4 linked regions of the Callithrix jacchus genome follow. The protein of the gene in region 3 interacts with the protein of the main gene of each other region in a pairwise test. Links are inferred from orthologs where the notes say so. Each region holds a gene or a part of one and is shown on either strand. Other genes may lie near its edges.

Region 1 (7,654 bases), on a different chromosome or scaffold from region 3:
TTAACAGGAACTTGCAAGTTGGGTCCTATGGATGGATGCTGGTGAAAGTAGCACAACAATGTGAAGGATTGGTGGGCCTTTCCCCTGATTAACTCCTCTCCACATTTAGGAGAGTCCTTTTTCCAGGCCAGAATGGTTTAGGTACCCTTGCTGTACCCTTTCATGATCCTCATGCTTTCTTTACCAGCCTCTCATCAAAACTGTCATCTACAACTAATTATATGGTACATTAGTTTGCTAGGGTTACCGTTAGAAAACACTACAGACTGGGTGCCTTATACAAACTGGGTGTGATTTCCTCACAGTGCTGGAGGCTAGAAGTCTAAGATCAAGGTGTTGGTAGGTTTGGTTTCTCCAGAGGCTTTTTTTTTTTTTTGGCTTTCAGATAGCCTTTCTTTTATGCAAACACAACCTGGGTGTTTGTGTCCAATTTCCTCTTCTTTTATTGGTTTTTTTGTTTGTTTGTTTGTTTTGAGATGGAGTCTTGCTCTGTTGCCCATACTGGAGTGCAGCTGCAGGATCTCGACTCACTGCAGCCTCGCCTCCTGGGTTCCCGTGATTCTCCTAAGTCTCCCTAGTAGCTGGGATTACAGGTGCACGCCACCACGCCTGGCTAATTTTTTTGTATTTTTAGTAGACAGGGTTTCACCATGTTGGCCAGGGTGGTCTGGAACTCCTGACCAGCCTGGTGATCCGCCCACCTCGGCCTCCCAAAGTGCTGGGATCACAGGTGTAAGCAACTACACCCAGCCCCAAATTTCCTCTTCTTATGAGGACGTCAGTCAGACCGGATTAGGGCTCACCCTAAGAGTCGAGTTTTAACTTAATCACATCTTTAAAGGCCCTATCTCCAAATACACTCACATTCCGAGGTACTAGAAGTTGGGACTCCAACGTATGAATTTTAGGGGATGCAATGTGGCTTATGATTAATTTCACTGTTTGCACTGTTAAACCTTATAACAGGGACTTTGTTTTGTTCATATTTCGGGAACTTAACAGTTGCTGCTCCGTCTCCTGAGCACGCTCTACCTCCAACTCTTCATACAACAGGTTTTTCTCAACTTTCAAGCCTTAGCACCATCATCTGACAAGGGCCGTTCCGGGCCACCTTGTCTAGAGTAGCCCTAAACTTTACTCTATCATGTCACTGTTCTTTTTCACAGCATTCATCACTTATTTATGTCCAGAATGCCAGCTTCCGGAAAAGTGGGGATACGCTTTTACACGGTATTATGTCCCAGTATCTCACACACAGTCACAAGTGAATGAGATTCTATAGCTACTTAGCACATTAACATTTTATTTATTCCTGGGAAAACCTGAAGGGCTTTTAACATCCCAATCGGTTTCTGAATTTCATCTCTGATATGGAGTAACTGTGTGAATTCCAGCAAGTCCCTCACCCGCGGTCTCGAATCCCTAACAACACGATGACGATACCTTCTTCCCGCTCTTATGAAGATTAAGTGAACTAATTACTCTTAAGTGCCCAGCTCAAGAATCTGACATAGAGCCCATGCTTGTCAGCTGAGATGCTACTAGCTTTCGGATGTTCCACAGCATCGACCTGGGAATGGCTTTCGAAAATGTCTTTAGGTGGTACCCAGAGCATTAAACAACGGGGTATGAACGCTACCCTATTTTCAGTGTTTAATTCTTTTTTGCTCTGTTGTTTTGTTTTTGAGACAGGATGTCGCTCTGTAGCCCACACTGGAGTCCAGTGGCGGGATTTCAGCTCACTGCAGCCTCGACCTCCCGAGTTCCGGCAATTCTCCAGCCTCAGCCTCCCAAGTAGCGGGGACCACAGGTCCAAGACACCACACCCAGTTATTTGTTTATTTATGGTTGGGTGGGATGGGGTCTCCCTGTGTTGCCCAGGCTGGTCTTTTCAATTCTTTACATCAAAACCAGGCCTTCCTCTCATGCGCGTGTGTTTGGCACCCATCCCTGCCTCCATCTCTTGCTGCTTCTTGCAATTCTTCTGTTTAGCGGAGATCCCTCAGCCAGAGTCGCACCCGCAGGGGCCGGCGGGTGGAAGGTGGCTCTGCGCGGGGACCGGAAGCCAGACTGCCTGGGGCGGCCCCGGCCGCGTTCCCCCGGGACTCCGGGCGGCTGTGAGGACGGGAGCAACTCGTGGGGTCCTACTGAAAACGACGTGGCCCCTCCCGCCACTCACGTTATGAAGACAAACACGTAGTTAACCCTGCCCGGGCGGGTGGCAGGCATCGCGGGAACCTATGGTGCCGGCGAGGACTACTGAGTCTGGAGGGGGTGCCTGAGGAAGGGGGTCCCCGAGGGAGGATAGGCCTTCGAGGTGGCCAGGCCCACGTCCCGGGAGGGCGGCCCACAGCTCGGGGCAGCAAGGCTCTGGGGGGCCTCCTCTGACTTGGGCCTGTTTAGTATCTGCCGCGCTCATCCCCGCGCGACTGCCCCACGCGCTTACCCGAGCCTTTCAGTCGGCAGAACGCCCACAGAGGGGCCGCACCCGCGCGCGAGACACCGGGCGGGGAGGCAGGGCGGGGTGGGGAGGAGCGTCGCACGTTACACACGCGACGCAGCTACGCACGCGGCTCCGCGCATGTGCGGTGAGGATCGCGGCCGAGTGCGGCGCTGGGCGGGAGCCACCATGGCGGCCGAGCGCAAGTCAAAGTTGTCCAAGAATCTGCTACGCATGAAGGTGCGGGGACGCTGAGCCACGCCGGGCGGTAGGGGCACCCGGTCCTTCCGACTTGACCTGGGCCGAGGCGGCGGGCGGACGGGGGACACCAGAGAGGCCCCAAAGGCTTCCAGCTCTTGTGCTCATTCATTCACTTAGCGCCTGCTCTGCACTGTTTACTGGGAACCAGGTTGTGAATTAGGCTGACTCTCTTGGGAGGCCCGCGGGCGGATCGGAGCTTATATACACATAAGCAGCAGTCAAGGTACAGTTCACCAAGTTCAGTGAGGGTAGAAGCGCCGGGGACCCTGGGAACTCACTGAACTCGCGGAGTCGTGGTCCCTTTAGGTTACTGGGAGGGTGGGAGGCACAGCGTCTTAAAGTACGAGAAACTGAGTTCAGAAGTCCCAGAGGCAAGAAGGAAAAAGAAAAGCATGGAGATTTCCAGGAACTAGAGATAATTCCGTATGTTTGGAAGGCAAATACTAAGAAATGAGGTTGCAGAGTAGGCCATGGTCACAACGTGCAGGGAATTTTAGGCCTGATTAAGGATATTTTCCTTTATTTTGTGAGCAATGGAAAGCTCAAAAATAGCAAATATTTACATTTTTGGGGTACTCTATAATGTTTTAAGTGTTTTGCATATATTAACCTATGCAGTTCACAAAATGACACTTTGAGGTTACTACAGGCAGTAACTCTATTTTTGCAACTAAGGCAACCGAAACGGAAGTAAGTAACTTACCCAAAGTTACACAGCTAATAAGTAGTGCAGACGGGATGGAACTCAGTCTAGCTCCAGAACCCTGGCTCTTTATTACTACTCTAATGCCTCTCACTGAGCACTACTAATAGAGAGTAGCAAACTGTTACATGTCATGTTTAAAGAGGTGGAATTTCCAAAAAAAAGGGAAGGAAGCTATTCATAGTGTTTTGAAAGATTGGAGAGAGAGCCCATTCGCAGTGACTCATGTCTGTAATACCAGCACTTTGGGAGGCTGAGGTAGGCAAATCGCTTAAGCCCAGGAGTTTGATACCAGCCTGGGTAACGTGGTGAAACCCCATCTCTACAAAAAATACAAAATATTAACCAGGCGTGGTGGCATGCACCTGTAGTCCCAGCTACTTGGGAGGCTGAGGTAGGAGGATTGCTTGAGCCTGGGAGATCGAGGCTACAGTGAGCTGAGATGGTGCCACTGCACTCCAGCCTGGGTCACAGAGGGAGACCCTGTCTCAAAACGAGAAAGATTAGAGAGTAAACAATGAATGGGTGAATGAGGATAAATTGTAGCATAACTTATAGTTTGTCAAGCACTTTCATGGATAATAGCAAAATTTGAATCTTTACTGAACAGAGTTTGCTTTTGATTTTAGGATTTGTAATAACATTAATTTCAGAGAAGTGGAGTGAATTGGCCAAGCAGATACTGAAAAGATTAGCAATTGTTTTAGCTCTTGGAATAAGCCAGATGATGTACTACGTGACTCAGGCTCAAACTAAAGATCTGAGTTGCAACTAAAAAGGAGGACATTAACTTAAAATAAGTGTCCACCCCCACCAAGTGGGGAGACCCAACTGAACATTGGAAGCAAAGGAGAGAGAAGAAGATCACCCAAGTTCTCTATTTGTTTTAGAAGCTTTTGGTCATCGATAAGAAAGAACTTACTGGCAAGATAGCAGGAGACACTACCTGTACTAACTGAACAGAGTATACTGTGAAAAGGCATGGAGCAGCTGCACTTGAGTGCCATAGCCAGAGCTAAGTCCTATATAGCATGAGTCTCCAACCTCTGGGCCATGGACCAGTACCAGTCCAGGCCTGTTAGGACTGAGCCACACAGCAGGAGGTGAGTGGCAGGCAGCCAAGCAAGTGAGGGAAGCTTCATCTGCATTTACAGTTGCTCTCCACAGCTTGCATTACCACCTGAGCTCTGCCTCCTGTCAGATCAGTGGCAGCATTAGATTCTCCTAGGAACACAAACCCTACTGTGAACTGCACATACGAGCCACCTACCTTGCACGCTACTTAGGAGAACCTAATGCCTGATGGTCTATCACTGTCTCCCATCACCCCCAGATGGGACTGTCCCAGTTGCAGGAAAACCAGCTCAGGGCTTCTACTGATTCTACATTATGGTGAGTTGTATAATTATTTCGTTACATATTACAATATTAGAAACAAAGTGCACAATAAATGTAATGCACTTGAATCATCCCTAAACCATTTGTCCCCCCCTCCCCACCCCACCCATGGAAAAATTGTCTTCCAGGAAACCAATCCCTGGTGCCAAAAAGGTTGGGAACCACTTTTTATGGCAAGTATGAGGGTTGAGGATTTAATCCTGACTCACTTGAATGCTTCTGACTTGGTAAGCCATTGAGGGGTGATCCTGATGGGAAGCAGAAAAAGGAGGATGTGGATAGAAGGTCTGTCAGTATGGAATGGTTGTAGAGAGGGTGCTTATTTGTGATTTTAGCACTATTAGACTCTTAGAACAGGGCTTGGCAAACTTTCTGCAAAGGACCATATAATAAATATTTTGGGCTTATGAGCCAGGCAATCTCTGTTACAACTACTCAGCTCTGCCATTGTTGTTCAGACCAAATGACCATGGCTGTGTACCAGTAAAACTTTATCGACAACGACAGACATCCAGCCTGAGGACTGTATTGTGCTGATGTCTGCTCTGAGTCCTCACTAGTTTTAGAATGTGTTCTGAAATGCTCTAGAGTAAGAGAATTGAACTTCTACGTAAGTCTGGAGGTGCTTGATTTATATTCACAGTGAGTTCTATCCTTTCCCTATGTACAGAACATAAGTTTATGGCTCTTTTGTATACCCAAAGAATAGGTACCTGACTAAATGGGAGAAAAAAGGGCAGTTGGGCAATACTGATGAGTTTTACCATGAGGAATATTAATGATTAAATGAGGCATCTGCGTTTCAAGAAAACCATCCCAGAAAGAGAGTCTGGAAAAGTAAGACAAGTCTAGGTTCATTTACATTCAGAGAACCTTGACTGGGTGAGCTCTTTTGTGTCCCAGGGGTGCAGCCTAAGTACCAATGGTACAAGATGAACGAGAGTCATGGTCTATTCAGAACCGTAGTCTTGGGAGACACCAAAGCAGCACAATGCTGGATAATAATCCAGTGTTGATAAGGCTGTCTTGGAAAGGTGCTCCTTTATAGGAGCAGGCCTAGGAAGAGCCAATCGGGGAAGTCTTACTAGAGGACACATGCTGTGGGCCTACAAGAGTAAATATTGTGTGAGGCAAAAAATGGAAACATGTTGTTAAGTAGCAAAGGCAAAAGGACGTGGTAGTATAATGTGTACATTCCAGAAACTGCAGTTCTTTCCTAGAATGAGGATATAGACACAGGTGAAATGGGTAAGGACTACAAGACAGTAGTCTACAAACTTGTTTTCTTTTCTTATTTAAAATAGTAATGTATTCACAGGGAGTTGCAAAAAGTGTTCAGGGGTATCTTGGGCATCCTTCATGCCACCTCCCCCAGCAACAACATTTTATATCACTAGAGGACAATAAAGAGCCAGGACATTGACAGTGAGCTTACTCAGATTTCACCATTTTGCATGCACTCACTTTGTGCAGACAGTTGCTGGGTCATATGGCTAAGTGTATGTTTAGTTTGCTAAGAAACTGCCAAGGTGTTTTCCATAGTGGCTGTACCATTGACTTTTCCAGCAGCCATGTATGAGTGATCAGTTTCTTCACATTCTCATCAGCACTTGATGTTATCACAGGCATGTGTTACTTGACAGGGATACATTCTGTAAAATGCAGTGTTAGGGGATTTCGTCATTGTGAGAGCATCATAGAGTTGATGTACACAAACCTGGATGGGATAGCCTGCCACATACCTAGGCTGTATGGCACAGCCTGTTGTTCGTGGGCAACAAACCTGTACAGCATGCTGCTATACTGAATACTGTAGGCTGTTGTAACACGGTGGTAAGTATTTGTATATCTAAACATATCTAGACATAGAAAAGGTACAGTAAAAATGCAGTATTACAATATTAGGGGACCACCATCATATATGGGTTTCATCGTTGACCAAACATCATTTTGCAGCACATGACTGTGTTTTATTCATGAACGTTCTTAAGGTTTTTTCCATTTAACTTAGTAGTCATTGTTAAAGCCTTTATACCTAAAAAGGCTTGTGTTTCTTTTTGGAAGAACTGGAATAGAAAGAGAAGAAATATGGGGCCTGAATAAGGGAAATAAATGGGGGCACATAGAAACCAGTGGAAGCTGAAACCTAACTGCTAGGAGGCTCCTGGGTGTTTTCTGATTTTATTTTCTCCAGTGTTGGTATTTTATCATTTTGTTCTGGTTTGCCTCTTAAGTTTGTTCACTTGTTCCCAGAAGAAAAGTAGATATTCCTGCTGGCGAGAGACTAGCAGCAGGACTGTTATTTACTGCCGTATTTTGAGTCAGGTTTCTGCAGATTTGATAATAAGAGCAGCTGAAGAGTTTAGCAGCATTTCAGAAGACAAATAAAAAAGAGCAGACTTACAGATGCACCTTTGCTTCTGTCTACATTTATCGGGCGCTTACTGTGCTTCAGTCACCTTTCTGGGACAGATGAAGGAGATGACTCAGACACAGTCCCGGTCCTAAAGGTCTCCAGAAAAGATAGACACTCAAAAAGTTAAGATGTGGTGAGTCTGTTGGAGAGAGACGTGAAAGCATTTAGGACAGAGATACTGATTTTACTGGCACCTGCCAGGGATGGCATTACAGAAGTGGCGTAAGTTTACATATGTCAGACAGGTGAGGAGTTGGCCAGGTGGAAGAGGATAGGAAGAGCATTTCAACCCAAGATCAGCAGGTGCAAAAGCCAGTGGGCTCTGTGGGTGAGAAGACCCTTGAATGTGGTGTCTTAGCCCTTAAGTTTTCCAAAGGAAGCATACATTGTGCATTTTCACATGCCCCGACACAGTCCCTCATCATCTAGTGTAAAG
Region 2 (6,978 bases), about 1.4 Mb from region 3:
TTTGGTTTGACAATTATCCTTTGAAACACGTCAATACACAGTACAGAAACAAGAGCTCAGGAGTGAAATACCCAAGACCATGCAGGCAAAGTACATCAGTATTTATCAACTTTCAGTTAAGATCCCCAAATTAAGAAAGAAACCCATTTTACATTAAAATCTAGTACACAAACATCAACACAATCTAAACAAGTGAAATGCTTTCCTTCGTGTGGTCAGGTCTTTGTGTTCACTAGTTTTTGTTCACCAACTTAGACGTGATCCACATTTTTAAATAAACACTGCAGAAAACCAAAAGTTCTGAGTAGGGTCCAGATGCATCAGCATCACTGGGGACTTGTTGAGCAGATTTTCTGGGTCATCTCAGACCTCCTAAATCGTGGGGGGTGGAACCCACAAAGCCAGGTATTTCTGAGAAATACTTCATGATTACTTCTTACTGCTAAGGATACACGTAACTCCCTTTCTACCCTCATTTTTTCAGTTTCCTTTTAATAACATTTCAAAGAATATCCAGCCTTGATCCACTTTAGCTACTCTATTCATGCCACCTGTGAACTCACCGGAGTCATGACGTGATCCTTGGTCCCGAGGGCCTTAAGTGACATGGAAAAAAAGAACAAAACAAAAACAAAAACAAGGAAAGGGGAGCCGTTAGTCAACAGGAAAAAACGAACAAGGAAAAAAATTAACACCAAATCCAAATTAGCAAAATATCATGTAAGTGCTCACAGCCTCACTCCAAACCCCTTTCCTGGGTCACCTGCCCAGAGGAGAAAATTCTAGGTAGGCCCCTTAAGATCTGTAACTTGAGTCTCCACAGAGACAACTCCACACTTCAGAAAATGCTGCCTCCCCCAGCTCAGGCTGGGAAATGTCCTCAGCACAGACAGCAGGGGAAAGGAGACCCATTAAAGTGAACAAACCAACTCAGCTTGGCCCGGTTCTCTCACCCAAGAGAGATGGGCTCACCACGAGCCATGCGATCCAGTTTCTCCCAACTTTACCACCAAAGACACTTATCCCTTGTGGAACAATTTTTAATTTCATCTTTAGAAACCATTCTTAAAACCATGTTGTTTCCCCAAAACCACATGAAAATAAAAACCACACATAATAGCTATTGTATTTTTTAAGCATGTCCCAGGGAACAGACCAGAAATCTTATTTCCGTAATGCAGCCTCTATTTTGTTTTTCCAGAGACCATCTTTGACCAATGTTTATCTGAATTCGCCATATATAAATATTGTACCCACACGCAATGACATAAGTGTCATGAACCCAAGCCTTTGGCTTTAAATGTTGAGACAAATCAAGAAACCTTTTGTTAGTTAACCAAACCAGAAAAGTTCCAGCTTACTGGGAGACTTCTCAAATTTGTCATTTTTCCATGAATTCAGTGTGTGCTGTTTTAAGACCTTCCTGGTCCATGAATTCAGTTTGTGCTGTTTAAGACCTGGTTATTTCCCATGAGCCACACATGCTTCCAAACTTTCTTGAAGTAGTGCACATGTTCCTTCCCAGAGCTAGTTTCTATTTGCCCATCTGAGTTAAATCCACATACAGAGAATTGCAATCATTGACACCATTTCGTACTTTATACATGTATACCAACTTCACCATCCTCAGGGCAGGGCAATGTCACATCCCTCTTCCAGAATTAAAACATTTGGAGGTTGTCTCCCACACACACTCCCACACACGCAAGCCTTGGACACAATGATCAAAAGGGTCCTAAAGCCAAGTTGGCACCACGTGTTCCAGCACACTCTCTCCAGTTTCTCATGATGGTGGTCACTAAGTGCCAGGTGTGACAACACCCGTCCCAGGCCTAACTAGACCCCTCTTATTAACCGGGGGGCAAACCCATTTGGTAAAAGATGACTAATGAGTCTTACCCCTGCCTGCTCCAGGTTAGCACACACCAGGCAACAGGTGGCATTCTACCCTACCCCTTTTTGGAGGTGGTTCTGGACACCTCAATACCTTTGCACTTAAATTAACACGCTAAGACATCTGCAAATGAACAATCAGACAAAGCATTGCTGGGAGTTGGGAATTTTGGAAACTCTGTTCACTTACCACCAAATTTATTGAAGCCACCACGGTCACTTCCGCTGGAGAAGACAAGTTAGAAGAAAGGACATGAAGCTTCCAACGGCTACAAAAGGGTGTTTTTTTGATTTTGTTTAACATTCCCCAAACATGGGTAGGTGTTTTTGGAAAAAGATACAAGTGACTACTAAAATACATCCCTTCCTGACCACCCCTTGTCTGACCTTTGAGCGTGTCACACACACGTGTGCAATTTCTCAGACACAGTTTATAAAGATTTTGCTTTAAAAGGTTATATATCTATTTCCTCTGGAAAAAAAATGACCCATTTTCCTCGGTCGTTCTTCCGATGGAGCAGATGTTTTTTTTCCTCTTGTCGCAAGTGGTTGACAACCAAGTAGTTGGTTTAAAAACCCTACCCCAATTTACCCAGAAGACATTTCACACCAGGCTGGGGTAGCCCTGAACACATTTTTGTGGTTTTTGCTTTGAAAGCAGCAAGCAGACCCAACCCCATTCCATAAAAAGTCAAAACCAAAAGCAATTTCCCCTTAAAGCAAGACAAACTTAGCTAAGCCCTGTCCTAACTACTGAGCTGTTTTTGATCTCCCCCAACCCCCGGGGTCACCCCTTCTACACTGCGAGAAGAGCGGAGTATTTTGCAATGTCACCTTTCATACCTGTGGCACATAAAATGCAGAGCAAGTTAACAGTCACATAACAGTTGTTTTTCTTTTTAAAGTTTTGCATTAAACACACGCACACAACAGAGTTTTCCTTATTTTTGTACGTTTTTGAGATTGCCCCCACCCACCTCTGCATACTTACCATATCCCAACTTGTTTTAAAAATCTACTTTTTCCAAAAACAGTAACACTGACACTCCTCCCCTTTTTCAAGGGAGACAGGGTAAGGTCCTTCAAATCATATTTACCAACAGATTTGACGGCTGTTTTAACATCAAATCTAAGGTTTTACTCAAATCAACTTCAGCAGGAAGGAAAGAATGTCCAGTTGGACAAATTGATGATTTTTAAGTAACCAGGGGAAGGCAGACAGTGGAACAAATAGTTGGGAGACCACCGTCAAGCATATTTTTGCCCAAAAGGTCTGTACACTTCAGTCGGATGGCCCCACAAACCAAGTCACACACAAAATCACTGTCAAATTAGCGCAAATCAAGCTCGTGGATTCAAATGACTACAGAAAACAGGAAGAGTAGCCAATTCCTAGAAGCTGAAGTCAGGTTAATCATTACCAACTCCCTAGAGGACACATGGGCATACACATACCAAGTTTCCCTACTATTTCCCAGGAGTGGGATCATCGGTTTCCCTTGCAGAGAAAGAAGTCTTCACTTCCGTGTTTCTTGCCTAGGATATCAATGACTCCAATCCATACATATCTATGTATGATTTCTTTCTCTTTGGAAACAAGTATCAATACTCAAAATCTCTATTTAGTGGTATGGATGGGAGTTTCAGCTCCCAAGTTCTCACAAAAATAAAATGGGGATGTAAAAACAGTCACTGACCCCAAATCAAAGCCCTCACAGATCCCTAGACAACAAGAATACTAAACCATGCACTAGGGACTGGCTTCAGGGAAATTCATGCAATCCTCCACACTCCCCACCAAAGATACTCCCTGGCTCATAAGACACCTACCCCATGCCGCCTCTGCCTCCACGGCCACCTCCACGACCTCTGGGTTCATAGCCACCACTGTTGCGGTTGTAACCACCACCACCACCACCACCACCGCCCCTGCCACGGCCTCCACGGTCTTGCTGTCCATAGCCACCACTGCCTCCACCACTCTGGTCTTGATTGCCATAACCACCACTGCCGCCGCCGCTGCCACTACTCATGGAGGACTGATCTTGGCCATAGCTACCTGTGAGAAAAGAAAGAATGGTTTTAAAAAGTCTACGGCCATACCACCCTGAATGCACCCAATCTCGTCTGATCTCAGAAGCTAAGCAGGGTCGGGCCTAGTTAGCATTTGGATAGGAGACCTCCTGGAAATACCAGGTGCTATAGGTTTTAAGGAAAAAAACAAACAAAAAAGTAAAGTAACACAAAAAGGTTCAACAAGTGCCAAGCAATAAAGGACAAAATAAATTAAAAAGACATATAGGGAACAAGAAAGCAATCCCTTTAAGCTAAGAGTCAAACAGGAGAATACAAATCCTTATAGAAAATGGAACTGCTGGCAAAGCTGAGGACATCTCACCTCCACCCCCACCTCCACCCCCACCGCTGCTGCTGCTGCTGCTGCTGTTGTACTGGTTCTGCTGTCCATAGCCCTGAGGCGGATTATAGGAGCTTTGCTGCTGTCCGTAGCCTTGCTGCTGTCCACCATAGCCAGATTGCTGGCCGTAGCCGCCACTCGGGGGCTGCCCATAGCTGCTGCTCTGAGAACTGCTCCCGTAACTAAAGAAAACAAATGAAAAACAAAATCATAATCCCAGCATACCCAAATTTTGTTTTTAGTGTATTCCATTCTCTATACCCAACATAGGTTCCCCCACCCCAATTATACCTCAAAGCTGCTCCTACTCCTGGGTCCCTTTATCATTCCTCATCAATTCACCCCTCTTCAAGCCTTCCCCTGACATCAACACCACTGTACCTTCCCGAGGTGCTGCTGGGAGCTGGCTGCTGACCATAGCCAGGGTAGGAGGACTGCTGCCCGTAAGATGATTGGGAGCTCTGGCTACTGCCATAGCCACCAGTTGAGCCATATCCCTGGGGAGCTGACTGAGTGCCATAGCCTGCTATGAGGATAAAAAAAGGGAGTCACAAAAGCCACAGCAAAGAGAAAATGTATGGAATGGGTTAAAGAAAACATATACAACCTAACACTCACCCATACTCAAAAAGTCAGCCTCTCAGAAGCCGTTAGTTATCTAGCAACTCACAGGCAAAAAGTTACCACCCTCCTTCTAAAACCTAAAGTTAATGCTCCAACTTCTACCAACTCTTTAGAACAGTTCCAATTTCACCCCACCAATCCCAACACCATCTCCAGAAACACCCTCTAATCCCAGGCCCAAGGATCCCTTGCAACCGCACTGCAATGTGCAGCTATGTGTGCAGTTTCTGCAGGACAACCACATTCGTTGGTTATGCTTCAGGACCTTGGGACAAATCCCACCTTCTTAGGTATCATATGATTTTATACATTTTCAAGCAAAACCATTTTCTCAATTTAAGAATCAGCCTGCCAGGAACGGTGGCTCACGCCTATAATCCCAGCACTTTGGGAGGCCGAGGCGGGTGGATCACGAGGTCAAGAGATCAAGACCATCCTGGTCAACAAGGTGAAACCCCGTCTCTACTAAAAACACAAAAATTAGCTGGGCATGGTGGTGCATGCCTGTAGTCCCAGCTACTCGGGAGGCTGAAGCAGGAGAATTGCTTTAACCCAGAAGGCGGAGGTTGCGGTGAGCAAAGATCGTGCCATTGCACTCCAGTCTGGGTAACAACGGCGAAACTCCATCTCAAAAAAAAAAAGAATCAGCCTAACATTCTTCTTCCTTTAGAAAATATGCTCTCTTTCATGCTGAGATGAAAAACAGGAGGACCAAAAAAATTTAAAGCCAAATAAAATAAATGGAAACAATTACAAACCAATAAACATTTTTGTCTTTTTTTGTTTTTGAGACAGGGCCTCAATACACTGCCCAGGCTAGAATGCAGTGGCTACTCTCAAGCACAATCATAGCTCACTGCAGCCCCAAACTCCTGGGGCTCAAGGGATCCTCCTTCCTCAGTACTGTAGGTTTGCCACAATGCCCTGTAAAGAACTCAGACTCCCAAGAGTTTTGAGAATTATACAGTGGTTCAGGGAAAGGAAATATGGAACAGTTTCAACATTTCCATGCTGCTCAGGTTTAACAAAAGCAGTATTCAGAGCCGGATGCGGTGGCTCACACCTGTAATCCCATCACTTTGGGAGGCTGAGGCAGGTGGATCATGACGTCAAGTGTTAGAGACCAGCCTGGCCAGCATGGCAAAACCCTATCTTTACTAAAGATACCAAAAAAAAAAAAAAAATTAGCCAGGTATGGTAGCACACGCCTGTAATCCCAGCTACTCAGGAGGGTGGGCTCAACGAGAATCACCTCAACCAGGAAGGCAGAAGTTGCAGTGAGCAGAAACCACGCCGCTGCACTCCAGCCTGGGTGACACAGCGAGACTTCGTCTCAAAAAGGAAAAAAAACAACATTCAGAAAGTAGAGGAAAAGATGACTCGCTGAGAGAGACTCACTGTTCTGGGTCTGGCCGTAAGAAGAACCATAGCTGCCCTGGCCATAGCCTGAAGTATCTGTGGACTGGCCGTAACCGCTGTAACTCTGCTGTCCATAGGGCTGACTGCTCTGCTGGGAATAGCCCTGTCCCGGCTGGGTGGGGTAGGCCCCATAGCTGGAAAAAAGTAAAACCAGCGTGATCAGAAAAAGAGGCCTTGACCACCGTCGGCCTCTACAAACTTTGGAAACGCAAAAATAGCACTCACCTTTGGGTTGCTTGTTGAGTATAATCTGCAAAAGAAAAATACAATCACATTATCTTCAGCCAACACTCTGAAAGAGTTGAATTAAAGCTAAATTCCTTAACTCAAGCACTGATGGGTAAACAGGACCACGTTGGCCAGGCAAGGTTGTTCACACCTGTAATTCCAGCACTTTAGGAGGCCGAGGTGGGTAGATCACTTGAGGTGAGGAGTTCAAGACCAGCCTAACCAACATGGTGAAATCCGTAAAAATACAAAAAATTAGCCAAGCATGGTGGCGGACGTCTGTAATCCCAGACTGAGGAAGCTGAAGCAGGAGACGCATATGAACCTGGGAGGCAGAGGTTGCAGGGAGCTGAGATCACGCCATTGCACTCCAGCCTGGGCAACAGGGCGAGACTCTC
Region 3 (6,752 bases):
AAGTACTGGAATGACAGGCATGAGTGACCACACCTGGACTCTTAATTTTTTTTTTTTTTTTTTGAGATGGAGTTTTGCTCTTGTTGCCCAGGCTGGAGTGCAATGGCGCAGTCTCAGCTCACTGCAACCTCTGCCTCCTGAGTTTAAGTGATTAGGAGAATCACTGCCTCAGTCTCCCGAGTAGCTGGGATTACAGACACGCACCGCCACACCTGGCTAATTTTGTATTTTTAGTGGAGATGGGGTTTCTCCATGTTGACCTGACCTCAGGTGATCCGCCCATCTCAGCCTCCCAAAGTGCTGGGATTATAGGCGCAACCCACCACACTGGGCCCTATATATATTTTTTAAGACAGGGTGTTTCAGGCTGGGCGCAGTGGCTCATGCCTGTAATCCCAGAACTTTTGGAGGCTGAGGAGGGCAGATCACAAGGTCAGAAGATCGAGACCAGCCTGGCCAAGATGATGAAACCCTGTCTCTACTAAAAATACAAAAATTAGCTGGGCGTGGTGGTACATGCCTCTCGGGAGGCTGAGGCAGGAAAATCGCTTGATCCCGGGAGGTAGAGGTTGCAGTAAGCCAACATCATACCACTGCATTCTAGCCTGTACTATAGAGGAAGACTCCATCTCAAAAACAAAAAACAAAAAACAAAAGAAAACAAAAAACAGGGTCTTGCTCTATTGCCAAAGCTGGTCTTAAACTCCTAGCCTCAAGCCATCCTCCCACCTTACCCTCCCAGAGCCCTGGAATCACAGGCATGAGCTACCATGCTAGGCCAATCTTTGCTTAATTTAAGGTTATTTTCCTCTTTCTCTTATCACCTGGTCTGTTATATCACCGCAGCTCTGTTTTCATTCAATATCCTGTCTTCACTTTCATTTCCTGGGTGTTAAGGAACTCACCCATCACCCAAATCTGGGAAAACAAAGACTAAATTCAATTCTGGCTCAGGCAAGGGAGAAACACAAGCAGAAGTTCAGCTTCTTGTGTTTTTATTTTTGTTTTGAGACACAGTCTCGTTCTGTCACTGAGGCTGGAGTGCAGTGGCTCAATCTTGGCTCACTGCAACCTCCGCCTCCTGAGTTCAAGCGATTCTCCTACCTCAGCCTCCCAAGTAGCTGGGAGTACAGGCACTTGCCACCACACCTGGCTAATTTTTGTATTTTTAGTAGAGAAGGGATTTCACCATGTTAGCCAGGCTGGTCTCGAACTCCTGACCTCAGGTGATCTGCCTGCCTCGGCCTCCCAAAGTGCTGGTGCTCGGACTACAGGCATGAGCTTGGCCTCATTATGTCTTCTGTTTCAGTATATCCATATTTTGAAATACGTATTATTTTATTATAATTTGTTTTTGAGACAGGGTCTCGCTCTGTCACCAGGCACTGTGGCAAGTGTCTTTTAAACATTATCTTCATTTGATCCTCTCCCCAACTCTAGGAAGAAGATACAATTATTATCGTTCTTGTTTTACAGAATTGGAAACCAAGGCACAGAGAGGTGAAGGGACTCACCCAACGTCACACGGAAAGTGGTGGGTCCGAGGTTTGAACTGAGGGCATCTGGCTCCAGACCCTGAACTCTCCAACCGTCTGCCACCCTCCTCTGAGGTGAGGAAGATTACATTACTGGGGACCATGTTTCAGGATATTAAGGGGTTTTCCAAGACGTTTCTCAGGAAAAAAAAGCGGGGGCTGTGGCTCACACCTGTAATCCCAGGACTTTGGGAGGCCGAGGTGGGTGAGGTTGTCTTGAGGTTTCAGAAGTTTGAGACCGGCCTGGCCAACATACCCCATCTCTACTAAAAATACAAAAATTGGCCAGGTGTGGTGGCAGGTGCCTGTAATCCAGCTACTCGGGAGGCTGATGCAGGAGAATCGCTTGAATCCCGGGAGGAGGAGGTTGCAGTGAGCTGAGACTGCGCCACTGCACTACAGTCTGGGTGACAGACTTCGTCTCAAAAAAAAAGAAGAAGAAGAAGAAAAACAAAATGTTGAGTGTGACTGGATGGAAGCTGCCAACTTGCCCCGGCACAGGGTGTGCTCCCCTTCCTTCCTCACGTCCTGCGTCTCAGCAAGAATTCTGGTGCTGGGGTTAGCTGTGTGGCCATCACCCCAGGCCCAGGTGAAGCCCTCAATCAGATGAGGCCATGATCCCAAGGAGTGTTTAAGCCCAGATCCTGCCTCTTCCCTGCTCCCTGCCGAGAGGCGGGACCTCCATATGGAAAATATCCAACTGGGTGAGCCTGGAAGGGAGGAGGCAGAGTGGGGCTGGACTCAGGGACCAACTCTTCCCCTCTCGTGACTGTGTTTACTGGCTGGATTCCGGCAAGGAGCCAGATTGCATCAGACAGGGCCTGATGGGCTGGAGCCAGACTGGTCTGAGAAGGAGACACAGCCTTATAAGCTGAGGGAGTGGACTGGGAGTGGAGAGGCACAGGCGCAGGAAAGCAGAGACAGATAAAGCATTAAGAGAAGAGAGGCAGGGAAGACAAGCCAGGCACGATGGCCAGCTTCCCTCCAGCAGCCAGTGCCCCCCAGCAGCCCCCAGCCCCAGAGGACGAGGACCCCAGCCTGGATGAATCTGACCTCTACAGCCTGGCCCATTCCTACCTGGGTAAGGCCCACTTGGCCATCTCCACGGTCCTTCCTCCTCTCCCGAAATCAGGACCCCTCCGTGGACTTCCCACGTCCCTTTGCCCTTCCTCTCTTCCTCTCTTTCTTCTTTCTCTCTCTCCTCACTCTATCTCCTCACTCTTTCTTTCTTTTTTTTGAGAGTCTCACTCTGTCAGCCAGGCTGGAGTGCAGTGATGTGATCACAACTCACTGCAGCCTCGAACTCCTGGGCTCATGTGATCCTCCTGCTTCAATCTCCCAAGTACCTGGAACTTCAGGTGTGCACCACCTGTAGTGGGGAGATGGGGTCTCACTGTGTTGCCCAGGCTGATCTCGAACTGCCGGGCTCAAGCAATTCTCCTGCCTTGGCCTCCCAAAGCGCTGAGATTACAGGAGTGAGTCACCACGCCCAGCCCACTCACCCTTTTCTAGCAAGCTGTTCCTTCGATCCTCAGGTCACCCCTCTCTAGTCCCTCATCCCCGGAGTGCTGTCTTACTCAGCCTGGGACCTCACACATATCCGGGGAAGCAACATCCCACATTTCACAGAGGGGAAGCTTCCCCCTGCTCGCTCCATCCCCGCAACCCTGAATCCCTGCCTCTCTTCCGAGGCCTCTCATCCTGCCTCTGCCCATTTCACCTCTAAATCCTGCCTTGGTGACAGGAGGCGGAGGCCGGAAAGGTCGCTCCAAGAGAGAAGCTGCTGCCAACACCAACCGCCCCAGCCCTGGCGGGCACGAGAGGAAGCTGGTGACCAAGCTGCAGAATTCAGAGAGGAAGAAGCGAGGGGCACGGCGCTGAGACAGAGCTGGAGGTAAGGAGTCCGGAGACCCAGAGAGCCCAAGGCGGTGCCTCTGCCATAAAGGACAGGCCAGAATGTGTGTGGTTGGGTGTGAAGGAGGGATCAGACAGATTGTTGTCTCAATGCAGAATAAAATGAGACGATGCAGAATAAAATGTTTGGCTGTGAGTTTCCTAGTGGCCAGAGCAAAGGGGGAACACAGAACCTTTCCAATTGAAGGGAAATTTAATTTACAGAGACAGAAACTGAGGCCAAAGAGGGTGGGTCCTTCCCTGAAGTCACACATTGAGTGGAAGAGGCAGAATTAGAACCCAGGTCTCTGTCCCTTTCACCACTTGCTTTTCCTCACCCCCCAGATGAGGCCAGACCACGGACACTACACCCAGCAACGGAGACGGGACTGTGGAGGAAGGAGGACCCGGGACAGGATCCAGGCCAGCTTGCCACACCCCACACCCCTAGGACTTACCCTGCTGACTGAGTCTCTAAGGGGCTACCAGGAAAGCACCTCCAACCCCAGAAAAAGTGCAAGATGGGGATTGAGATGCAAGGAAGGGAGGGGCAGAGCCAGGAAGATACCCCAGAAAAGAAAGCTACAGAAGAAACTGGGGCTTCTCCAGGGTGGCAGCAACAATAAATAGATGAGCACAGCAGCCACAGCTTTGGTGTGTGTTTTGCTCGGGCACGTGCGAGCCTGCCTGTACCTGCACATGCATGAACGCGGGAGAGCCTCTGGGATGTGTGTCTGTATTTGGTGTATCTGGGGCAGGGAGTGTTCTTGCTTTTGGAGGAGTCTATGCTGTGACTGTGGCTTTTGGTTTGTTTACGCGTGCATATATTTTAGTGCATACATTTCTGTGGGCTCCTACATAGTGGAAAAGAATTTCTTCTGCTTTTTTGTGATACTGCCCATGAACATGGCTCTCCCCAGCACCTGTCTGTTTTTGTTGATTACGTCCTGTTCATAGAAAACCATCTTTTTCAATCTGAAAAAAAAAAAAGACAAAAGAAAAAAATAATAATTAAAACAAACAAACAAAAAAAAAAAAACACTTTTTGAGGCCAGGCATGGTGGCTCATGCCTGTAATCCCAGCACTTTAGGAGGCCGAGGAGGGCAGATCCTCTGAGGTCAGGAGTTTGAGACCAGCCTGGCCAACGTGGAGAAACCCTGTCTCTACTAAAAATACAAAATTAGCTGGGTGGTGTAGTGGTGCGTGCCTGTAATCCCAGATAGTCAGGAGGCTGAGGCAGGGGAATTACTTGAACCCTGGAGGTGGAGGTTGTGGTGAGCTGGGATTACGCCATTGCACTCTAGCCTGGGCAACAAGAGTGAACTCTGTCTCAAAATAATAATAATAATAATAATATCCTGCTGAACACTCTAGAGAGAAAGAAAAAATAATAAACAGAAGACCACTTTTGAAGGGAATGCTACTTATGGATGCCATCTATAAGATGGAGAAAACTGAGATTTAAAATATTAAAGGCCAGGAGCAGTGGCTCATGCCTGTAATCACCGCACTTTAGGAGGCTGAGGTGGGAGGATCACTTGAGCCCAGGAGTTCGAGACCAGCGTGGGCATCATAGTGAGACCCCCATCTCTATCAATTTTTTTTTTTAAAGAGAGAGTCTCGCTCTGTTGCTCAGGCCAGAGTGTAGTGGTGCCATCTTGGCTTACTGCAACCTCTGCCTCCTGGGTTCAAGCAATTCTTGTGCCTCAGCCCCCTGAGTAGCTGGGACTACAGGTGAGCACCACCACACCCAGCTAATTTTTGTATTTTTAGTAGAGATGGGGTTTCACCATGTTGTCCCGGCTGGCCTCAAACTGTCCCCCTCAGCCTCCAAGCCTTTGGGAGGCCAAGGAGGGAGGATTGCTTGAGGCCAGCCGGGGCAATATAGCAAGACCCTGTTTCTACAAAAAATTTAAAAATTAGCGAAGCGTGGTGGCTCACTCCTGTAGTCCTAGCTGCTAAGAGGCTGAAGTGGGAGGATCCCTTGAACCCAGGAGTTGGCAGGTGCAGTGATGCATGATGGTGCCACTGCACTCCAGCATGAGCAACAGAGTGAAAACATGTCTTGAAAAAGAGAGAGAGGGAAGAAGGAAGGAAGGAAGGAAGAAAGAAAGAAAAGAGAGCAAGAAGGAAGGGAGGGAGGGACAGAGGCAGGGAGGGAGGGAGGGAACTATTAAGGGATTTGGCCTAGCTCACTCAGGGCTCCTATTCAAGGCTCTTACTGTTTTCAACTTCTCTTCTAGTTCTGGGAGGTGAGATGGGGAGGGAGATTCTTATCCAGTGCTATGTCTCAGGACCAGCGTTGAAGAAGAATATGGGGCAAACAAGAAGCACGATTGGAGCTGAGATCATGTATTGATTGAGATACAGGCTTGGGTTGCTGTTATGAAGAATCAAACAAAACAAGATAGAAAGTTATTCCTCTCTTACTCAGCCCCAAGTCCTCCTGGGCTCAAATAGCAGCTCCATTGTATTAAGGATTCCAGCTACTTTTACGAATTGTTTTGCCACATTCAAAACATGGCTTCCACTTTGAGGCCTAAAATAGCGGCTCCAGTACCTGCCATCGAATCTGCATCTCAGCCTGTGGAAAGAGAGTGTGAAAGAGACAGAGGAGGCCACATCTCTTCAGGTTTTTTTTGTTTTTTTTTTTTTGAGATAGAATTTTGCTCTTGTTGCCCAGGCTGGAGTGCAACATTGCAATCTCAGTTCACTACAACCTCCACTTCCCAAGTTCAAGCAATTCTCCTACCTCAGCCTCCCAAGTAGCTGGAATTACAGGCATCCACCACCACGCCCAGCTAATTTTGTATTTTTAGTAGAGACAGGGTTTCTCCATGTTGGTCAGGCTGGTCTCACTCCCGACCTCAGGTGATCCGCCTGCCTCAGCCTCTCAAAGTACTGACATGATTATAGGCATGAGCCACTGCGCCCAGCTGACACCTCTTCAATTTGAGGGCATAACCAAAAAGTAGAACGTATCACATCTGCTTGGAATGTGGTTACACGGCCACACCCAACTACAAGAGAAGTTGGGAAATGTAGCATTTAGCTGCTTAGCCATGTGGAAGCCAAAACTTGGGCAAGAAGGTAACTGGAAACATTGACCACATGCAGACTCAGCAGATGTCGGGGGAGAAAACTCTGAGATTGGGGCCCGGGCAGAACCTGTTTCCTTTTCTCCTGTCCCTTTCATACAAGCCCCACACTGTAGAACTTGGAGTCAGTGGTTCTTGGGGACCCAAGGACATCCACAGGGGACCAAGGTACCTGATAGAGCAGGAACAGATGCACATCAGACTACAACCAGCTTGAAGCCTTGG
Region 4 (7,563 bases), on a different chromosome or scaffold from region 3:
AGTATAGTGTGTGTACTGCTTAAGAACTGAATGTTAAGACATCTTGAAAGCCCGGGAGTACCTGAAAACTGGGTAAACACGGACCATTTTCCTTGAGTATCAAGTTAACACTAAGCATCTGACATTCAAACAGAAAGTGCAAAATTTATACTTTTTAACACCAAGAATTCCCAAGCTCCCGCCATCCAGACATTCCATCCTGTTTGAAGTTATCAAAACATTACTTTTGCCACAAAACAAAACCAAGTATTACCCTTAAAATATCTATTTGGTATGTACAAACCACATTTTTGTCGACAGGTCACAAATCTTGAGCAGGTTCCTCCCAAGAGGGCCCTACCTACCCTAAATGAAGGTGGAACAGACATCGCTTTACTTCACCTGCACAGTCTTTACACCGTTTAACTCTCCTAACCAAACAGTCTGTCGACCTGTCATGCTGAGTTTGTGAGACACAGCTCAAATGTACAAAAATAAAAAGTAGACATAGGAAGAAATTAACCTAACAGATTTCAAATTAAGGACAGCAAGGCAATCCAAACATTAACATGGCATAAATATCTCTATTTTAGTGGCTTCAAAATGCTATTTTTAAACAAGGGATGAGTTCACTTGCTTAGATATTTGAAATACAACTTTATTCTGATTCTAAACGAAAAGGAATGGGAATGACAGTAACAAACAAGATTTCACCACTGAATATTGTGATGTGACTGCAGCAGTCTCATATCTGAAACTCAAGGAATCAACTGCGTTCCGAACAGCTAAATATGCAAGTCCAAACAATGAAGGTGTATTTTAAACTGCCATTCACTCCGAAGCCCACTCATCTCCTTCAGCATCCCACAGATGAAGCACATGTTCCGCTTAGCTAGATAATAATGAGGTGGCACACACGCTGCACCGCTGACATCACAGGACAGCTGCCTATAAAACTAGACTTCTGACGCTGGGCTCCTGCTTCATTCTCACAGGTCATCATCCTCATCCGGGAGAGCAGTTGTTTGAGCAACCTAGATGAAGAGAGGAACACTGTTAACACTCCAGCTCAAAACTGCCAGGAATACACAAGCCAAACACAACAGCCTGGACAGCAAAGTGGCCACAATACCTCTAAGTCGTGCTCATATTGCGCTGCCAAAGCTGGGTCCATGACAACCTCCGGTGGGGCAAGAGCAGGCATGGCAACAAATTCCAAATTAGGGTCTCCAATGAGCTTCCTAGCAAGCCAGAGGAAGGGCTTTTCAAAGTTGTAGTTACTTTTGGCAGAAATGTCGTAGTACTGTTTAAAAAAGTAAAAATTAGTTTTTAAAGTTGATTTTCCCAGAACATTCCAAAATAAGAAAAAGATTCTTGGTGGGGCATGGTAGCTCATGCCTGTAATCCCAGCACTTTGGGGGGGATGAGGTAGCAGGATTGCCTGAGGCCCGGAGTACAAGATCAGGCCTGGACAAGAGCAAGACCCCATCTCTACAAATAATAAATTAGGTGGGCGTGGTGGTGAGTGCTCGTGGTCCTAGCTACTCGGAAGGCTGTGGGAGGACTGCCTGAGCCAGGAGTTCAAGGCTGCAGTGAGCTATGTTCATGCCACTGCACTCCTGCCTTGGCAACAGGGCAAGACCCTGTCTTAACAAGAGACACACACACTTCAGTTGACCAACCCTGACAACAGTGAAACCCCATCTCTATCAGTCTTTAAAAACAATAAAAATAGCATAAAAATAAAATTATTTCCATATATAATATAGACTGGTCAATTTCATGGTCTTACGTATCATCTCCTCTAAGAGAAATAACTCAGGAAGTTTTAATTTTCACACACCTGAAGATTCTTCTTTCGGTGGAAGACAATGGATTTTGCCTTCACTTTCCTGTCCTTAATGTCCACTTTGTTGCCACATAACACGATGGGGATGTTCTCACACACTCGCACCAGATCTCTATGCCAGTTAGGCACGTTCTTGTAAGTAACTCTGGATGTTACATCGAACATTATGATGGCACACTGGGCTGAAAGGAACATTTGTGGTAGTTAGTACACTTAGTTTACTACACACATGAAGAATGCCAAGAACCAGTCTAGGATTCATCTGGTCTTAGACCTCACCGAGTCTCCTAGCTTTCTCCCTTCACTTCCAATTCTAAAAATGTCAATTCGCAATTTCTAAAAATGTTAATTCACAATTCTTCCTAAGCAAGATGAGCTGACCCCGTCAAACCTCCCTGATACACTTCATCATTAACAGTACCCTCATCCCAAAAAGTATCTCGGGTAGATTAATGATAAGTGAGATTCTGCAGAACCGAGCTGCCATATTCTGAGGGTAAGGGGCCTGCAAACACCTTCTTCAGAAGGTCTTTCAATGGCATGGCTGACTATACCAGGAAATATTCCTGTCTTAAATCCAGACAGGCCAAGCGATGTGGCTCATGCCTGTAATCCCAGCACTTTGAGAGGCCGAGGTGGGTGATCACCTGAGCTCATGAGTTCGAGATCAGCATGGGCAACATGATGAATCCCCATCTCTACAAAAAATAAAAATAAAAATAAATAAAATACAAAAATTGGTCAGGTATAGTGGCCTGTGCCTGTAGTCCCAACTACTCAGGAGGCTGAAGTGGGAGGACAGCTTGGCTCAGGAGGCAGAAGCTGCAGTGAACTGAGATCACACCACTGCACTCTGGGCTGGGCCACATAGAGACCCTGTTTCAAAAAATAATAACAAACCCAAATAAAGTCTATATATTCACCTGCAGGGCCAGCTATGGCATAGTTGATAAAGCAAGAATCCACAACTTTTTGGTTAAAAGATTTTTGGGGGGAAATTCTTGTGTTTATTTGTACATACTAAAGGAAAACAAAAGGCATGGAATGATTCCAAATAATTTGTTATCAGCAAAGTGAGGATCCAGGAGAGATGAGTATTTCCTTTACTCCTCTTTTTGGTATAATGAACGTCTTCCTTGCAATTTTAAAAATCAATCTATTTGAGAAAAATACTCTCCGCAACTTAGTACAAACAATGTAACAAGAAATCACCTAGTCTTGCATAACACTTGCTAAGATCCCTATCTTCCCTGGTGTTTTTTAATGGAGTACAAACAATCATTGATCACTACGTCTAAATTCATACCTGAGCCTGTTTTCATATACTGAACTGCTCTAACAGCCTGTCTGTGATTGTTTTAAACTATGACATGTACCCAGTGTAAGTCACAGTTTCTTCTAAACCATGCCTAGCATGACACAGCATGCAAATAACACAACTTGCATAAAATGTTCTCCTCTGCCACCAAAATGGTGGTCAGCTCCCCGAAGCTCACGTTTTTTAACCCAAAAATGACACAGTTCCCCTAACAGTATTAAGCACTGTTTGCCGGAACCGGCCTGATTTTCTATAACCTTGAAGGATGCAGTACACAAAAGCTCTCAGCAACGGTTCAGCAAGTCACGGATGCTTACCTTGGATATAGTAGCCATCTCTCAGTCCGCCGAATTTCTCCTGGCCGGCCGTGTCCCACACATTGAACTTAATAGGTCCTCTGTTAGTGTGGAACACCAGGGGATGAACCTCAACACCCAAGGTGGCTGCGACGGAAGCGATGCCAGTGAGTGGGCGCATTGACCCGTTTCCCACCCGTGTCCGCGAACAAGGTGCTCCCGCACATACCTACATACTTCTTCTCAAATTCACCAGTCAGATGACGTTTCACGAAGGTCGTTTTTCCGGTACCACCGTCACCAACCAATACAAGCTGTTGGAGAACACATTTTGGAAGTAAACCCAGAACACTTCACCTCTCCGGATCCCAGAGTCCGCCACGCCAAGAACGCGGACGCGGGGCCCGGCTAACAGCCATCGTGGGCCCGGGAGGAGGGACCGCGAGGCGCACGCGGGCCGGCCCGGCCGCCGCCCGCCCCGCAGGGTTACCTACTTTAAACTGGACCTGGGGCTCTCCCTGCGCAGCCATCGCGGCGTTCCTGCGGAGGCAGAGGACGGAGACGAGCGCTCGCGCGGCCCCGCAGCCCATGGCGGCCCCGCTCCCGCGCCCCCCGCGCCCCACGTGCCCGCCCCACAAAGGCCTCCCGCCCGCGGCGCCATGGCGGCCGGGCCTGGGAGCGGGAAGGCGGCGGGCGGGGCCGGCATCCGGGGCAGCGGGACCCAAGGAACGACGGACGGGGGGGCCGGGATGGAGACGAGACTGGGACCGGGAGCGGGATGGGAGCGCGGGATGGAACCGGGATTCGCGGGGGCGGGCGCCGACCCCACGCCCGTTTCTTCCCCCGGCCCGGCCCGGCCCGCGCCACCCACCTACTCACAGCCGCTCGCTGCCCCGGGGCCGGCCACCAGCCCGGGCCCTGACCCCGGCCGCGGCCCCTGTCCCGCCGCCACGGCCCCTGTCCCCCCCACCCCGGCCCTGCCCGGCCAGCCGCGTCGTTACCTTCCAGAAGCGTCTCCGCGCCCGTCCGACTGAGGCTGGAAAGATGGCGGAAGCGCAATTCAAACGCCTGAGACGCAGCCGACGCCGGCGCGCGGCAGGGGCGGGGCAGGCGCGGGGCGGGGCTGACAAGGGGCGGAGCAACGGTCCGGTGCCCGCCCACGTGGACCGCGCGTGCGCGCACGCACGCAACCCGGCTCGGTGGAGCGCAGGGTGGGGCGGTAGGCGCGGTGGACCGCGTGGGAGGACGAGGCGGGAGCGCGCACGCACGCCGACCCGCGGGCCCCATGTGCGCCAACACTCAGGGCGGGCTCCCGGGCACGCATGCGCCACTGGTGAGGCGGCGCGCTCCTGGCCGGGAGATGCTGGGCGCGGCGGGACAGGCGCGGCCCTGCGGCCTCCCCGGCGGGAGGCGGGATTCGCTCGGGCAGACGCGGTCAGGCACGCGGCTTCCAGGCGCTGGCCAGCCTGTCGTTGTCTGCGCCCCGTGGAGTGAGGGTACTTGGGGTCTTTGGGGCATAGGCCGGCGCAGGACCGGTAGGTGACAGAACGAATGAATGAATGAATGGGTCCTAGGCCGGTCCCCCAGGGTCAGCCCGCGCCTTTGTCTCCCCAGAGCTTAGCCTTCACGCCCCCAGGCCCAGGGACAGTTGGAGAGCGAGGCATCAGAGAGGGATGCGCCCACCCAGAAACACGGGTGCTTATTTCTTTTGAGACGGAGTCCCGCTGTATGGCCCAGGCTGGTCTGGAACTGCCAGGCTCACGCAGTCTTCCCGTCTCGGCCTCCGAGTAGCTGGGACTACAAGCGCGCGCTACATCCGGGCTGATTTTGTTTGTCTTAATTGAGACACAGGATCTCACTGTGTCTCCCAGTCTGGCCTCAAGGGATCCGCCCTCTTCGGCGTCCCAAGGCGCTGGGATTGCAGATGCAGTCACCGCGCCCGGCCATAGCACCCCTTCTCGGAGCGTTTCATAGGTCGGCAGCCATGGCGGCCGCATCCTACAAACAAAACGATGAAATTTCGTTTGCGGTGTGGGCGGGTCTTCCAGCCGTAGTTACCCTCGGGGGCGGAATGAGGAAGTGCCCAAGCTCCCGGCCCCCTGTGGAGCTGAAGCTGTGAAGAGCCTAGGCCAGGTTGAGCTAGAGGGACCCCGACCCACGGGTCCTTCCTGGGCGCCCCTGCTGACATGCAGACAGATAAAGGCCCAAATCAGCGCAGTCAAGCACCTCAGAAAAGAGTTCCCCGTGGGGAAAGAGCCCCAGGGACCCAGGGGTCCGCCCAGCAGTCACGAGCACACTTGCAGGCGAGTCCGCTGGGAACCCCAGTGACGCAAAGTGCGCACAAGGCGCGCGAGAACCGGCCAGCTGGAAACGCAAGTCCAGGGACCCTCGGGAACGCCAGCCACCTCTCAGACGCTGCTGGTGGGAGAGCAGAATCTAACAGCAAAACGGGAATGCCCGCTGCTTGTGACCCTGGATTTCCGTTTCTAGGGAGAGGCCCTGAAGGGAAACTCATGCCTCATGCATGTGCACAGCATTTAATGCTGTAGAACATTGGAAAGATGGTCATCTGTTTGAACAGGTTAGATAGATGTCAAAAGGATAATGTTGAGAAAAGAAGTGATCATATCTTTATAAAGTCTAGGTCACCTGTAATCTCAGCACTCTAGGAGCCTGAGGTAGGAGATCCCTCAAACCCAGAAGTTCCAGGCTGCAGTGAGCAATGACCGCACCGTTGCATTCCAGCCTGGGAGACAGACCAAGACCCTGTCTTCAAAAATTAATACATAGACCAGGTGCGGTGGCTCACGCCTGTAATCCCAGCACTTTGGGAGGCTGAGGTGGGCAGGTCACCTGAGGTCAGGAGTTCGAGACTAGCCTGGCTAACATGGTGAAACCCCGTTTCTACTAAAAATACAAAAAATTAGCCAGGCGTGGTGGCGTGCGCCTGTAATCCCAGCTACTTGGGAGGCTGAGGCAGGAGAATGGCTTGAACCTGGGAGGCGGAGGTTGCAATGGGCTGAGATTGCACCACTGCACTCCAGTTTGGACAACAAGAGCAAAACTGTCTCAAAAAAAAAAAAAAAGAATATGTAAAGCCTAACACTGTATGTAATTTTGCCTAGAGGGAATATATACACACACATTATATTTATAGCATAATGCCATTTAGGTAATATTTTTACAAATACACAGAACAAAAGCATGTTGGTTATTGGATATATGTATTTTATTTTTTAATTGACTGCAAGGATCCGTACACCATATCCTGATGGTTATTCCTTCAGGAAAGGGTAGAAAGGAGTGATGGCACTGAGCAGAGGAGTCAAACAAGACTTTACCTGCAATGTTCTATTTTTTTTCTTCTTGTTTTTTGAGACAGTTTCACTTTGTTGGTCAGGCTGGAGTGCAGGGGCGCGATCTGGGCCCTCCACAACCTCCGCCTCCCAGGTTCAAGCGATTTTCCTGCCTCACCTTCCTGAGTAGCTGGGATTACAGGCCTGCACCACCATGCCCAGCTATTTATTTATTTTTGTGTTTTTAGTAGAGACGGGGTTTCATTATGTTGGCACAGGTAGTCGAGTGATCACTTCGGCCGCACGTATACCAAAATTGGAATGATACAGAGAACAGCATGGCCCCTGTACTAGGATGACAATTTTTTTTTTTTTTGAGATAGAGTCTTGTTCTCGTCACCCAGGCTGGAGTGCAGTGGCGCAGTCTTGGCTCACTGCAACCTCTGCCTCCCGGGTTCAAGCGATTATCCTGCCTCAGCCTCCTGAGTAGCTGGGACTACAGACACCCGCCACTACACCCAGCTAATTTTTGTATTTTTAGTAGAGATGGCTTTTCACCATGTTGGTCAGGCTGGTCTTGAACTCCTAACCTCAGGTGATCCACTCGCCTCAGCCTCCCGAAGTGCTGGAATTACAGGTGTGAGCCCCCGCGCCCGGCCTTGCAGAGTATTTTATAGGCCAGGTGTTTTGTACACTGTCTTTTCATTTGTGTTTCTCTGATACTTCCTCATCATTAGATACAGCTCATGCAGTTTGGGTAGAGCAACCACAAGATGATGCTGTGTCCTTAGTGTCTGATCAGGAGGCACAGAGTGGATCTGTTTG

Evidence for each region.
Region 1: the proteins of NUPR1 (region 3) and MPHOSPH6 interact in a two-hybrid assay, tested with the Homo sapiens proteins (2 studies listed by BioGRID and IntAct). The link is inferred for Callithrix jacchus from reciprocal best matches to the Homo sapiens genes NUPR1 and MPHOSPH6.
Region 2: the proteins of NUPR1 (region 3) and FUS interact in a two-hybrid assay, tested with the Homo sapiens proteins (2 studies listed by BioGRID and IntAct). The link is inferred for Callithrix jacchus from reciprocal best matches to the Homo sapiens genes NUPR1 and FUS.
Region 4: the proteins of NUPR1 (region 3) and RAN interact in a two-hybrid assay, tested with the Homo sapiens proteins (2 studies listed by BioGRID and IntAct). The link is inferred for Callithrix jacchus from reciprocal best matches to the Homo sapiens genes NUPR1 and RAN.

Annotation. Positions count from the first base shown.
Region 1 is NC_133521.1:39,717,377-39,725,030, reverse strand, and holds the start of MPHOSPH6 (M-phase phosphoprotein 6), read left to right. Parts: upstream 1-2,590; 5' UTR 2,591-2,629; coding exon 2,630-2,680; exon of another isoform or gene 2,681-2,924; intron 2,925-4,033; exon of another isoform or gene 4,034-4,793; coding exon of another isoform or gene 4,794-4,796; intron 4,797-7,654. UniProt on the Homo sapiens protein: RNA-binding protein that associates with the RNA exosome complex. Involved in the 3'-processing of the 7S pre-RNA to the mature 5.8S rRNA and play a role in recruiting the RNA exosome complex to pre-rRNA; this function may include C1D.
Region 2 is NC_133513.1:30,696,916-30,703,893, reverse strand, and holds part of FUS (RNA-binding protein FUS), read right to left. Parts: intron 6,603-6,978; coding exon 6,578-6,602; intron 6,487-6,577; coding exon 6,332-6,486; intron 4,836-6,331; coding exon 4,691-4,835; intron 4,492-4,690; coding exon 4,292-4,491; intron 4,102-4,291; exon of another isoform or gene 3,983-4,101; intron 3,953-3,982; coding exon 3,724-3,952; intron 2,119-3,723; coding exon 2,084-2,118; intron 597-2,083; coding exon 564-596; intron 1-563. UniProt on the Homo sapiens protein: DNA/RNA-binding protein that plays a role in various cellular processes such as transcription regulation, RNA splicing, RNA transport, DNA repair and damage response. Binds to ssRNA containing the consensus sequence 5'-AGGUAA-3'.
Region 3 is NC_133513.1:29,262,022-29,268,773, reverse strand, and holds NUPR1 (nuclear protein 1), read left to right. Parts: upstream 1-2,427; 5' UTR 2,428-2,504; coding exon 2,505-2,616; intron 2,617-3,279; coding exon 3,280-3,416; 3' UTR 3,417-3,429; intron 3,430-3,773; 3' UTR 3,774-4,070; downstream 4,071-6,752. UniProt on the Homo sapiens protein: Transcription regulator that converts stress signals into a program of gene expression that empowers cells with resistance to the stress induced by a change in their microenvironment.
Region 4 is NC_133510.1:134,085,716-134,093,278, reverse strand, and holds RAN (GTP-binding nuclear protein Ran), read right to left. Parts: upstream 4,475-7,563; 5' UTR 4,444-4,474; intron 3,983-4,443; 5' UTR 3,973-3,982; coding exon 3,937-3,972; intron 3,757-3,936; coding exon 3,672-3,756; intron 3,590-3,671; coding exon 3,464-3,589; intron 2,011-3,463; coding exon 1,823-2,010; intron 1,283-1,822; coding exon 1,112-1,282; intron 1,014-1,111; coding exon 969-1,013; 3' UTR 620-968; downstream 1-619. UniProt on the Homo sapiens protein: GTPase involved in nucleocytoplasmic transport, participating both to the import and the export from the nucleus of proteins and RNAs. Switches between a cytoplasmic GDP- and a nuclear GTP-bound state by nucleotide exchange and GTP hydrolysis.